Linked DNA regions of Danio rerio. Each later gene encodes a partner of the first gene's protein in a complex. Links are inferred from orthologs where the notes say so. Each region holds a gene or a part of one and is shown in the gene's direction. Other genes may lie near its edges.

Evidence for each region.
Region 2: mta1 (region 1) and cdk2ap2 share a complex: the UniProt entries of both Homo sapiens proteins name them as parts of the nucleosome remodeling and deacetylase (NuRD) repressor complex. The link is inferred for Danio rerio from reciprocal best matches to the Homo sapiens genes MTA1 and CDK2AP2.

Annotation. Positions count from the first base shown.
Region 1 is NC_133192.1:39,466,920-39,473,439, forward strand, and holds part of mta1 (metastasis-associated protein MTA1), read left to right. Parts: intron 1-3,414; coding exon 3,415-3,566; intron 3,567-3,864; coding exon 3,865-4,054; intron 4,055-6,090; coding exon 6,091-6,180; intron 6,181-6,263; coding exon 6,264-6,416; intron 6,417-6,520. UniProt on the Homo sapiens protein: Transcriptional coregulator which can act as both a transcriptional corepressor and coactivator. Acts as a component of the histone deacetylase NuRD complex which participates in the remodeling of chromatin.
Region 2 is NC_133176.1:43,109,713-43,115,106, reverse strand, and holds the end of cdk2ap2 (cyclin-dependent kinase 2-associated protein 2), read left to right. Parts: intron 1-1,737; coding exon 1,738-1,858; intron 1,859-4,584; coding exon 4,585-4,652; 3' UTR 4,653-4,881; downstream 4,882-5,394. UniProt on the Homo sapiens protein: Acts as a component of the histone deacetylase NuRD complex which participates in the remodeling of chromatin.

The DNA of each region.
Region 1 (6,520 bases):
TATTTCACGCAGGTGAGTGGGCTTGACAAACCACCTGTTCATGACACACTCTTTTTCTCTCCATATGCACCAGACACCTTACAGTATGAGCAACCCTTACTTGAAGACATTGTGTAATTCTGAGTGTGCTCCACACAGGTGAGTGGGCTTCACAAACCACCTGCAGGACACATTCTCCTTTCGTATGCTCAGACAAAAAAAAGAGAAGAAAAAATTAATAAAAAAACTAATAAACTTGTTAAAATGTTAATATACTGCTACTCTCTGATGATTTTTAAGGGCTTCTTTTATTTTTCTTGTCACTTTAGATAAATGCATCTACACTGGATAAAAGCTTTCATTTAAAAATGAAAAAAAAAAAATAATAATAATACTTGGGTAATGGTTCACATCTAAACTTGACCCAATGAAAAATAAATAATTTGCCTTAAACATTATTCTCTTTCTCTATCACAACACTTTTATTTAACCTGGTACAAAGCATTTTTGTCTTGTTAAAGAAAATCAATTAATTAAAATTCTCTTTTTGTTCTAAAAAATAAGATATAGCTTTAATCAAAACAACAATTGCCATAAAATGTTCATTCTTCCAATAAAAAAAAATAGGGTAATGGTTTCACATCTAAATTTGTTCACTTTAGCCAATAAAAAATAAATCATTTGCCAATGTTTTTTAAAGACTGTTAGGCCAGTGGGCCGAAGGTAAATATAGTTGCCATTGGTAATTTCCTAATTTATTGAATAATATTTGAAAAAATAACTAGAAAGCGTTGCGTTTTATAAACTAATATAGCTTAATTCTTTAACATTTAATAATGAACCTATTACAGTATATACAAAAACAATCTCATTTACAACAGAATGGAGTTACACTAGTTTTTGTCTTGATTTGCTCACCAGTGTCTTCTGTATGGCTCTCTATCTGTCGAGTGACATCATTTACATAAAAAAATAAATAAATCTGCTTCATTTACAGCTTTTAATTGGAACTTTAATTTCAGTTAGCTTTTTTGTAGCTCAGCAATAAAACGAACAAAATAGATTACGTTCAATCAGAAATGACGATCATTTTTTAAAAGCATTCACCCCAATCCTCTCCATTCTTCTCAGATGGAATGGTGGGCCAAATCAAAGGTTACAATGGGCCAACTTTGGCCCGCAGGCCCTTATTTGGGCATCTCTGCATTACACACTACCCTCATTGATGGTGATGGTCAATATTTTAGAAATAAATGAAATATTGGGCTTAAAAAACAGAAGCCAACTCAAACATGAACACACAACGTTTATAATAAAACAACCGATATATTTTAAATAATATAACATGAACTAACTCTAAACCATTTCCCATTATGCACCTGGCTATAGTGCTGTGGGACACGTCGTTACTGTGTGAGTAACCTTCAAATTTTACATTGGTCAAAATATTTCTTAGTTGAGCTCATAATCAAGTATAAGTGTTTTGAACTTAACATTTATTAGTTATAAAAATAAAACAAATAATATTAAGCTGAAATAAAAGATACAGTTTTGGTAACACTTTAATTTGATGGTCCATTTGAGTTTTAGTAGACTGTCTGCTTAATATCTGTTAATACTGCTTTTTCAACAGACATTTAACTGACTAAGAAACTTTGTCAACTTACACTAACCCCAACCTAACAGTCTGCTTATAATCTAATGAGAATTAGTTGGCATGTAGATGCAATGTAACTTAAATTCAACAAACGGACCATCAAAATAAAGTCTGACCAAATATTTAAGTACTTCTTGAAAAAAAAGTTCAGTGTACTTAATGAATAAACATGCATAAATGCATACTGTATGTACACTAAAAAAAGTTGACAAAAAGACAACAAATATCTTAATGTTACCTTTTTTTTAGAAAACTAGTCAGTTTTCAACTTAAAACCCACAAAGTTTAACTTAAGATTTTTAGTCAGTTTAATTGATTTAGGTTGAGATGACTAGAAAAGTTCATTTGATTCAACTAAAAAAAATAAAGGCAGCAAGATTTGTTTTCGAAGTGGACAGTTTAAAGACTTGGTCCTCTATTTTGACGATCCATGCGCAAAGTCCAAAGCGCAGGGCGCAAAAGCATTGAGGACGTGTCAAAATCCACTTTTGCTATTTTAAGGATGGAAAAATTCTCTGCGGTGCATGGTCTAACAGAGTTGAACTTATTCTCTTAATGAGTTATGGGTGTGTTTTGAGAATAAACCAATTAGAGTGTCTTCTCCCATTTCCTTTAAGATTCAGTTGCGTTGCACCATGACGAGAAAACAGTTAAACAGCTCTTCTGCCATGTGAGAATGAGAGAATGAGCCTCCTCATTCTTTACCTTCGCTAAGAAAACATGTTGCACGCACAGACATCCATTAGCCTATTCATAATTAATTTAGTTTGTTAAGCTCAAAGATTTGTTTCAACACTACTTCTAAATTTGGTTCTAATTTCCAGCAAAGAAATAAATGACCAATAATAACGAAGTGTGGTCAATAAACGAGTTATATCCTAATACACATGCTATGCCCCATATGGTCTAAAACCTTTTTTAGACTAGAACGCCTATGGTCGCACATAAGAGCGCAAACGCAATTGCTATTTAAACAGCGTGGGGCAAAACGTTGAAGCTGAAACTAGCAAACAACAATTGCGCCGCTTTTGGTCCATTGTGCGACCCTTATGTTTTCAGTTACAGGCCATCTTAAAAATTAACCTAAGCACTGATTGTTTCGGTTAATTTAAAATTAAGACTAAGTTTATGTTTTTTAGTTCTGTTTACTTTAAATAGATAGTTCACCCAAAAGTGAATAGTTACTTATTACTTATTTACTCATTCTCAAGTGGTTTAGTTTTTGGTTGCTCTATACACAATTCACAATTCTGCCCTGGCCTATGTCAGTGAACTTATTAGGCCTTATTCAGCTTGTAGACCATTAAGATCCCATGACCAGTTTCTTCTGTCTGTCCCTCGGTCTCGCTGCAAATCAAAAGGTGATCGAGCTTTCTGTGTTGCGACCCCAAGGCTCTGGAACAGTCTCCTTCTAAACATCAGGATTTCTCCTTCATTGGATGCTTTTAAATCTAAATTAAAGACTTATTTTTACTTTCTTGCCTTTGAGTGACGCATGCATGTTATTTTTTATTTTTATTTTAGTATTACTTTTGAACATATACATTCCCTTGTATTTTTAATAACAGTTTTTTTTTGTTTTATTGTCTAGTTGATTTTGTTGTAGAACACTTTGGATCAACTACGGTTGTGTAAAATTGTGCTCTATAAATAAAGTTTGCCTTGCCTTTCCTACCTTTAATGTTTGCTCAGGTAAAGGTTCACACTACAGCGAGTAGAGCAGAGAGTGATGTAGGAAGGATCTTAATTTGTGTTATTGTTTTTTTTTTTATATTTAGCCACCAGCTCGTATCAGTGGTACTCGTGGGGTCCTCCCAACATGCAGTGCCGACTCTGTGCCTCCTGCTGGACCTACTGGAAAAAGTACGGAGGTCTGAAGATGCCAACCAGACTAGATGGAGAGCGGCCCGGACCCAACCGCAACAACATGGTGGGTGAAAAGTGGATGTTCTCCAAAAAAAATAAAAAACAAGCTGCAGTTCTTGACATGAAATCCTCTTCTTCTCTCTCTGCCCCCAAGTCTGTTTTATTCAGTCTGTTTTCTCTTTTGCTGTGCAATTCTGTTTTATTACACCTCTTTGTGACTGTTAAATGAACGCCCTGAAAGAGCGAATGAGCCAAACTGTCTTTCATCTATGTTTAAAGTGGAGTTCGTTCCTTTAAGATATGCAGTATTTAGATTCTTCTGTCAGCAAGAGCTTGACTTTCATATCTCTGTCTGTGTTCAGAGTCCTCACGGTTTGCCCGTGAGACACAGCGGAAGCCCCAAGTTTGCCGTTAAGACCAGGCAGGCTTTCTACCTGCACACGTCTCAGATGACGAAAGCCGCTCGACGCGTCTGCCAGGACCTGCTGAGATCCAAATACTTGGCCAGACACCCGTACACACCTGTCAACACCATCGCTATCAAAGCTGAGTGTGAGTAGGCACATATTTGAAGATTCAGTTCATTAGATGCAGTTGCTTATTGTGGAAATTATGTGTGAAGTATGAGCTGATGTAAACTGTGTAAAACTAATTATAAAGTACTACTAAAATCTAATTGTTAAGATATATAATATATATATATTAAGGGTGTCACGATCTTCCAAATCCTCGATTCGATTACATTTTTGATTCTAAAGGCACGATTCGATTTTCGATTATGAATCATTAATTAATTAATGACCAATTAATTATTTGTAGCCTACCGTTTAAACTACCTGACCTGCATGGTCTTTGTTTTACCCATAAACAAATCATACAGTAAATGAATAAAGGCAAGATACACACATAATTACCACCTGTCAATCACTTTTTCTGCGGGACTCGTGAAAAGGCAGTGATCTGTGTCGTTATAGTGGCGTCGGTAAAAAAGACGCACAACTAACAGGAACCAGCCAACAGTATCTGAGGTGTGCGCTAAAATGACAAGTGAGTAAAAGATTGAAGCAGTCTACTAATCCTCTGACTGCCTGAACCCGCTGTCTCGGAGCCCATGGCTGTGTGTGTGCGTCTGTGTCTGTGTGTGTGTGTCAGAGGTAGAGAGGAAGGAGGGCTGCTCAGAAATGCTACACGCCATTGTGGATCTCAAATCGTTGTCGTTCTAAAATGCCATTTAAAAACAAAGACAGTGTAAACAGGGCCTGAGTGTGTACTTTTCGTGAGCGAATTTGCAATGGGGGCGGGCGGAGGATCGCGATGCCGGTGTTGTCTATATATATATATATATATAGATTTTAGGAGGTCATAATTGTATTACATTTAGCAATTTGAACTTTATAATTAAAAAAAATATATTTTTATTATTGTTTTGATACATTTTCTGTGAAAATCCCTGTGTTTTTCTATAATTGCTAGCAACATTTAAGGAATTTAAAAGTTTGCTTGAATTAGATTTAATATAAAAATTAGATTTTTATATTCTTTATATTAATTGTCCTGTTTTATTAATATAATTTCATAAAGCTCATGAATGTTTTTTAAATATTAGAATTATTGGAAAAATTAAAAATATATTATTTACTCTTTTGTTTACATTCATTTAATGTAATGTAATGTATTTAAAAACTAAGTTTTATTTGTTGTAATGAGTTTAAGAAGTATTACATTTCATTAAAAATATGAAAAATAAAAGCATATTTGACAGCCTTCATTTCGTTGGGGGAAATCATCTGCTTGTTATTTTTTAATGCCTCTTATAATAAATATTTTAATCAGTAAATGTTATACAATTTGGACTTAAAATATCAAAAGGTGATAAGGTGATTTATTATTTTTTTTTAATCACTGGAAATAAATACTATTTGACAACCTCAATTTTGCAATAGAAATAGAATTATCTGATATTTTGTCCTCAGTAATTGTTAATTTTACAAATTATTTAAAAAGATAATTGATTATTAAATATTTTATTCTAAATTTGATTAATGTTTTTTATTGTTATTAGCATATTACACACTAATATTTATGGCCTTTCTGTATTAAATTTTTTTTTTGTCATAGGGCTACATGTTATTGGAAAAATCTGCCATTGCAATATTTAGTTTTTCGGCAGTATACAGTGTGTGTATGTGTGTGTGTGTACACACACACACACACACACACACATATATGTATTTATATTCATTCATTCATTCATTTTCTTGTCGGCTTAGTCCCTTTATTTATCTGGGGTCGCCACAGCGGAATGAATATATATATATTGCTATATGAATACAGTTTCACCAGATGGCTTAAATAGCTCAGGTTATAAATTAACTGCGATGTGACAATTGAGAGAACACACATTGTGATATCGATGCCCTAATTTGTCATAATAGGTGCGTTCAGGTCTTTCTGTGTAAACAAATGAAGCATTTTTAACACTTTACTGAATGAACAAAAATGCTTCTTTGACACTGTACTGATTTACCATATTAATTTGAGCCTAGTCCGAATACATGGTGTTTATTTTTCTCATTTACATATTCCAGGTGCTGTGCGGTTGCCAGATATGTCCAAAAAACCTGCATCTCTAAAGCAGACAGTAAGGAAGCCTTTAGAGTCTGTGGTTAGATATCTCGGTAAGCGAAGCTCTCTTTAAACACTCAATTAGATCTTCATCAACGATCCCTTTTTAATAATATCTTCTCAAAACCTTTTCCAGAGGCGCACCCTCTCCCGCCCAAAGCAGACCCTCCACGAGGAGTCACCATTTCCACAGGCAGCCTGACGCCCATTAAATCCACACCCATCCTCAACAACGGCTCGCCGACCATCCTGGGCAAGCGCAACTACGAGCAGCACAACGGCTTGGATGGTGAGCGATCGGGTTGTGTGTGTGTGTGTGTGTGTGTGTTTGCTGCCCACATTCTTCCTATTCTACTTGCAATGCTTCATTCACTCATCTTAAAATCTCCCATT
Region 2 (5,394 bases), on another chromosome or scaffold:
TAATATAATTGCTGTAATGTTGTGTTTAACATTTTTATAATACAATTTTATGAACAATTAACACATTTATATAGGCATTGGGGCATAAATGAGGCAGTGTATGTTTTGGTTTCATATTATGTTAAGATTAAATGTAAGTGTTCTTGTAATTAAAATATCCAAAACCCAGTAAAAGTGTTTTTTTGCTAACTTGTGTACTTGCTTTATCTCAAATGTTAAGTAGAAATTGAGAGAAGTGAGCAGTTTTAACTTGACACAACCGTGTCCAGTGTTGCCATGCTAATTATGTCATACATTTGGTGGCAAAGAGAGCTGAACGTGCTGCAATTTAAGAAACTACAAAAAACAAAAAAATAGCTATTACAAAAAACGGCAGCAAATTGAGAAAAGATCTTCATCGGTTTGACAGCACACGTGCTGCATTTTCGCACAACGCAAACAAATAATAAAATACGCTGCATTTTCACACAACGCAAACCTTTTACGACACAGTTTTTGGGTCACCTTGAAACATTTTCGTTGAGTCAAGTTTTTTGTGTTGTGAGCAAAATCAGTGCGTTTTCGTAAATTGTTTGAGTGTGACAAAATGCAGTGCGTTTTCGTATAAATTGTTTTATTGTAAAAAATGCAGTGCATTTTTGAAAACGAGTATGACAAAATGCAGTGCGTTATTTAAATTGTGTGTGACAAAATGCAGTGCATTTTCGTAAATTGTTTGCATTGTGAGAAAATGCAGTGCATTTTCGTAAACTGAGTGACAAAATGCAGTGCGTTTTTGTAAATTGTTTGAGTGTGTCAATGCAGTGCATTTTCGTAAATTGTTTACGTTTTGAGAATTCAGTGCGTTTTCGTAAATTGTTTGGGTTGTAAAAAATGCAGTGCGTTTTCTTAAACTGTTTGCGTTGTGAGAATGCAGCTGTTTTATTATTTTTTTTGTGTTAAAAAAGCAGTGCGTTTTTTATTTATTTATTTTTTTTTATGTTTGCGTTGGGAGAATTCGCAGCACAGCTGTCAAATGGATAAGGATCTTTACTAAATTTGCTTGCGAGTTTTGTAATTGCGCGTGTTTACTTAAATTGCAGCACATTGAGCTCTCTCGGCCACTGTACATATACCCTTGATTTATGTTTTGCTTTTATAGAAAACTGAAAATGACGGTCCTTGTTTTATGTCGCATATTTTATTAGACTAATCAGAGCAGCAGTATAACAGAAGCCTAAAATTTATTTAGTATGATAAAACTGCTGTGCTGCTTCACATGATCACAATTTGGGGGAAAAAAGGAAGAGGTTGACTGTGGCATAATAAAAGCTCCACTGTTTTTCTGCTATGTCGCACTCTTCTCTTATCAGCAATTGCTTGATTGCTTGGAAGTCCTAATTCCAAAATGTCATTTATTTCTTTAGAGGCAAAGCAGAATTTTCATTATCGTTATTTCAGTCATCAGTGTGACCTGATAGAATCATTTGTAAAACAACATAATTATTTAAAATATTTGTTTGAATATTAGTTTCCTAAACTGAAAGTGCAACCCATAATTTAACATTTTAACATACATTTGGATAAAGATAGCCAGAATGGCTTTAAATTCCCCTAAAATTCAAAGTATTGAGCCATAAATTATAAATCTTTTTGAATAATTACAAACTTTTGATTTGTAGTGTGTATTACACTTTTTTTTGTAAATAGGGTGTCACACAGACTTCCTCAACGGCTGTCTTGTTTTGTTTTTTGTAGCCGGTCAAAGTGTCCCAGGGATCTACCTATAGTGAGCTGCTCTCCGTCATTGAGGAGATGAGCCGTGAAATTCGGCCTACCTACGCCGGCAGCAAAAGTGCCATGGAGAGACTGAAGAGAGGTACTCCAAAGCCTTCTGAGCACAGTACAGCATGCAGCACATTTGTAACAGTCAGTGACGTTTAGCCCCCTGGAGTAATGTGAGCCTAAGGGCAGTCGAGAGAGTTGTTCTCAGTTTTTCAGTTCTGTGTTCGTGCAGTGTTGCTTTTGCCTGCTCTAAGAAAGGCTTTTGCATTTTACTCTGACTTATTGTTCCTAATGCTGCTTTGTGCCAAGCCTTATACACTACCTGACAAAAGTTTTGTCGTCGATCCCAGTTGTAAGAGTAAAAAAACTTGATCTCTGGTTGATCTTTTGGAAAAGTGGCAGAACATCGATTTCTTTTTTTTCAGATGAATCATGTTTTGAACTGCATCCCCAATCATTATAAATACTAAAGATGACCTATTGGAACGCGCTTGGACCCACGATTCTCTCAGAAATCAGTCTAGTTTGATAAAGGAAAAATCACGTTTGAGGTTATATTCAGTATGGGGGCGTGCGAGAGATCTGCAGAGTGGATGACAACATCAATAGCGCGAGATATCAAGACATTTGTGCTGCCCGATACATTACTAAACCACAGAAGAGGGCAAATCCCTCAGCAGGATAGCAGTCCTTATACATCAACCTCCACATCAAAGTTCCTGAAAGCAAAGAAGGTCAAGGTGCTCCAGGATTGGCCAGCCCAGTCACCAGATATGAACTTTATTGATCATGTCTGGGGTAAGATGGAGGCAGTGAATATGAATCCAAATAATCTTGATGAACTCTGGGAGTCCTGCAAGAACACTTTCTTTGCCATTCCAGATGGATTTAATAATAAGTTATTTGAGTCATTGCAGAGATGTAGGGATGCAGTCGTCCAAGCTCTTGGGAGTCACAATATTACATACACAATATTAATTCTTTATAATAATATTAATTTCTTACATTTATATAGCACTTTTCTAGACTCTCAATTGGCTTTACACATCGGTGGGGGATCTCCTCATCCACGACCCGTGTGCAGCTTCCACCTGACGCGGCCATATTGCACCAGACCACACACCAGCTGATTGGTGGAGAGGAGACAGAGTGATGAAGCCAATTATGATATGGGAATGTTTAGGAGGCCATGGTGGACAGACCACATGCTTTTAATGACCACAGAGAATCAGGACCTCAGTTTAACATCTAATCTGAAAGACGGAGCTCACTGAGCAGCTGCAGTATAGAGTCCCCTTCACTATACTGAGGCGTTAGGACCCACACAGACTGCAGGTTGAGTGCCCCCTGCTGATCTTACAAACACCTTTTCCGGCAGCAACCTAGCTTTCCCATGTGGTCTCCCATCCAGTTACTGACCGGGCGTAGCACTGCTTGGCTTTAGTGGGCGACCATGTGAGATTTGCAGAGAGCTCGCTGCTGGCTTTTTCCACTGCACCATGACTTTATATTCTATACTGGACATTATTTCTGTTAAGTGACAAGACTTTTGTCAGAGCTTATTGTCCTAATTAAATCATTAAAAATCAAGGCATGATCATATTTTATTTTGGTAAAATAAGTGTAATCTAGAGGCCTTTGCCTTTCATATAAGCCACTTCTGGTACCAAATGATCAACCAGAAGTCAAGTTACTATTTGTTGTTCCTAAAACTTGGATAAGCAGCAAGACTTGTGTCAGGTAGTGAAAATACATGCTTGGTGTTTAACAGTGATGGAAAAGGAGATTTATAAGACCTACAGGCCTAAAGCACCATCTGCTGTTAAAAATTAAGCTCAGAATTGCTTCCAGACAGAATTTCGACATATTACAAATATCTCAGAATTGATCCATGAATCAAACGACACCGATTAGTCGTCCCAGCTCCTACAGTTAGTTCTGGAATTTTTGCAGTCTGAAAACCATTCTGGAAAATGTATATCAGTGATCAATGTAACATGAGGATGCACAATGCTATCACATTTAAGCAAGTTGCATTTTTCAATCAATAACATTGACTAAGCAAATATTTAAATAAGTACATTAACACTAGTTTTAATGTCAAGAGTAAAGCTGTGGTCACACTAGAGTTTGTGTGTGCGAAATTCTGTCGTGTGGCAATGCGAAAAGGGGCGGGATTAAACAAGATGATTAGCCATTTAAAAAAGCAAGCGATTGGTCCATGTTTTCAATTCCTGTTCAAAGAGGTCATGTTTTCACTCTTGATTGGTCCCACGCAGTCAAGTGATGTGCTTTTGCAGGTCAGAGTTCACCAATTTTGAACTTTGCATTGCAGCGACCTGTAAAACTTGACGCATGACCCTGCGTTTCTGATCTGACGCATTCGCGTGCGTATGAATGGAAGTCTAAGAGGACGAAAGTCCAATGTGTGACCGCAGCTTAAGCGTACATTATTACTCAGGATTTGTTAACCCTGGGTAAATTGTGAAGCGTGTTCAATATTTCCTAAGTGTGTGAAAAGCCCTAGAATTTCTGTTAAGCTTTTGTACCGCCAGATAAATGAAGTCTGGTGTTTATCACTCATTTTTAATACAGTGTTAAGCTGTAAGGTATATATTGTGTTACTGTCGCTATATATTACGGAATAATTTTGACATGCACTGCCATCTAATGGCAATGTTAAATTTTCTGCATTTAAGACTTGTTATGAAAATATAAAAGCAAATGGCCTGACATTGCTCAAATTAATAATTGAGAGTGTTTTTATTATCATGAGGTTTTATTCAATGTGGCTTAATATGTGTTTGTGTTTTTCCTCAGGTATCATCCACGCACGTGCTCTCGTCAGGGAGTGTCTAGCGGAGACAGAGCGAAGTGCTCGCACATAACATCAACACACACACACATCCTCCCTCTGGTACTCATCTCCCCATTGTTCTGTCTCTCTCTGCCCAGCTATTTACAACACCATCTCTTTCTGTCTTTCTTATTGACCTTTGTTCCATTATGCATAGCCATCTCCCCGACGTACACCTCATGTAGTGTTACTGCGATTAGCATAGACATTTTTTAAGCCCAATTTTTGCAATTCTGTATTTAAATAAAAAACAAAATCAAGCATTTTGTCTGAATTTCAATTCCAGAGAACAAGTGTTTGTTTTAGAAAGGGAGATGGGTGATTTTCATTCATTTTATTTGGCTTTAGTCACGACGTACATGCAAAATATAGATAAAAAGCATTATGAAAATGTTTATTTGTAGTGACATATATATATAGGTATGACAATGACGGTTCGTTAACCACACAAAAACGAGAGAAGTGGATTCTTTGACGTGCTATCATCACAGTGTTAACAACGTGTCTTACGTCTTTGATTTCTCAACCTTAAAAAATTAAGTATACATAAACAATAAGGATAATATCACTAAAATAATAAACATGATAAATATAAAAGAATAACATGAAAATTGCAGGGTTACAGTTCAGTCTAGCGTTTTACTATCTTCGGATTGTCTTTCATTGTTGTTTCATTCAGACAGCCATTGGTCAACAGCACATTTAATGCACAGGTTTGAGTAATTCTTTCATCAGCTGTATTCAAATACTTATTATACAAATTAAGAAGGCAG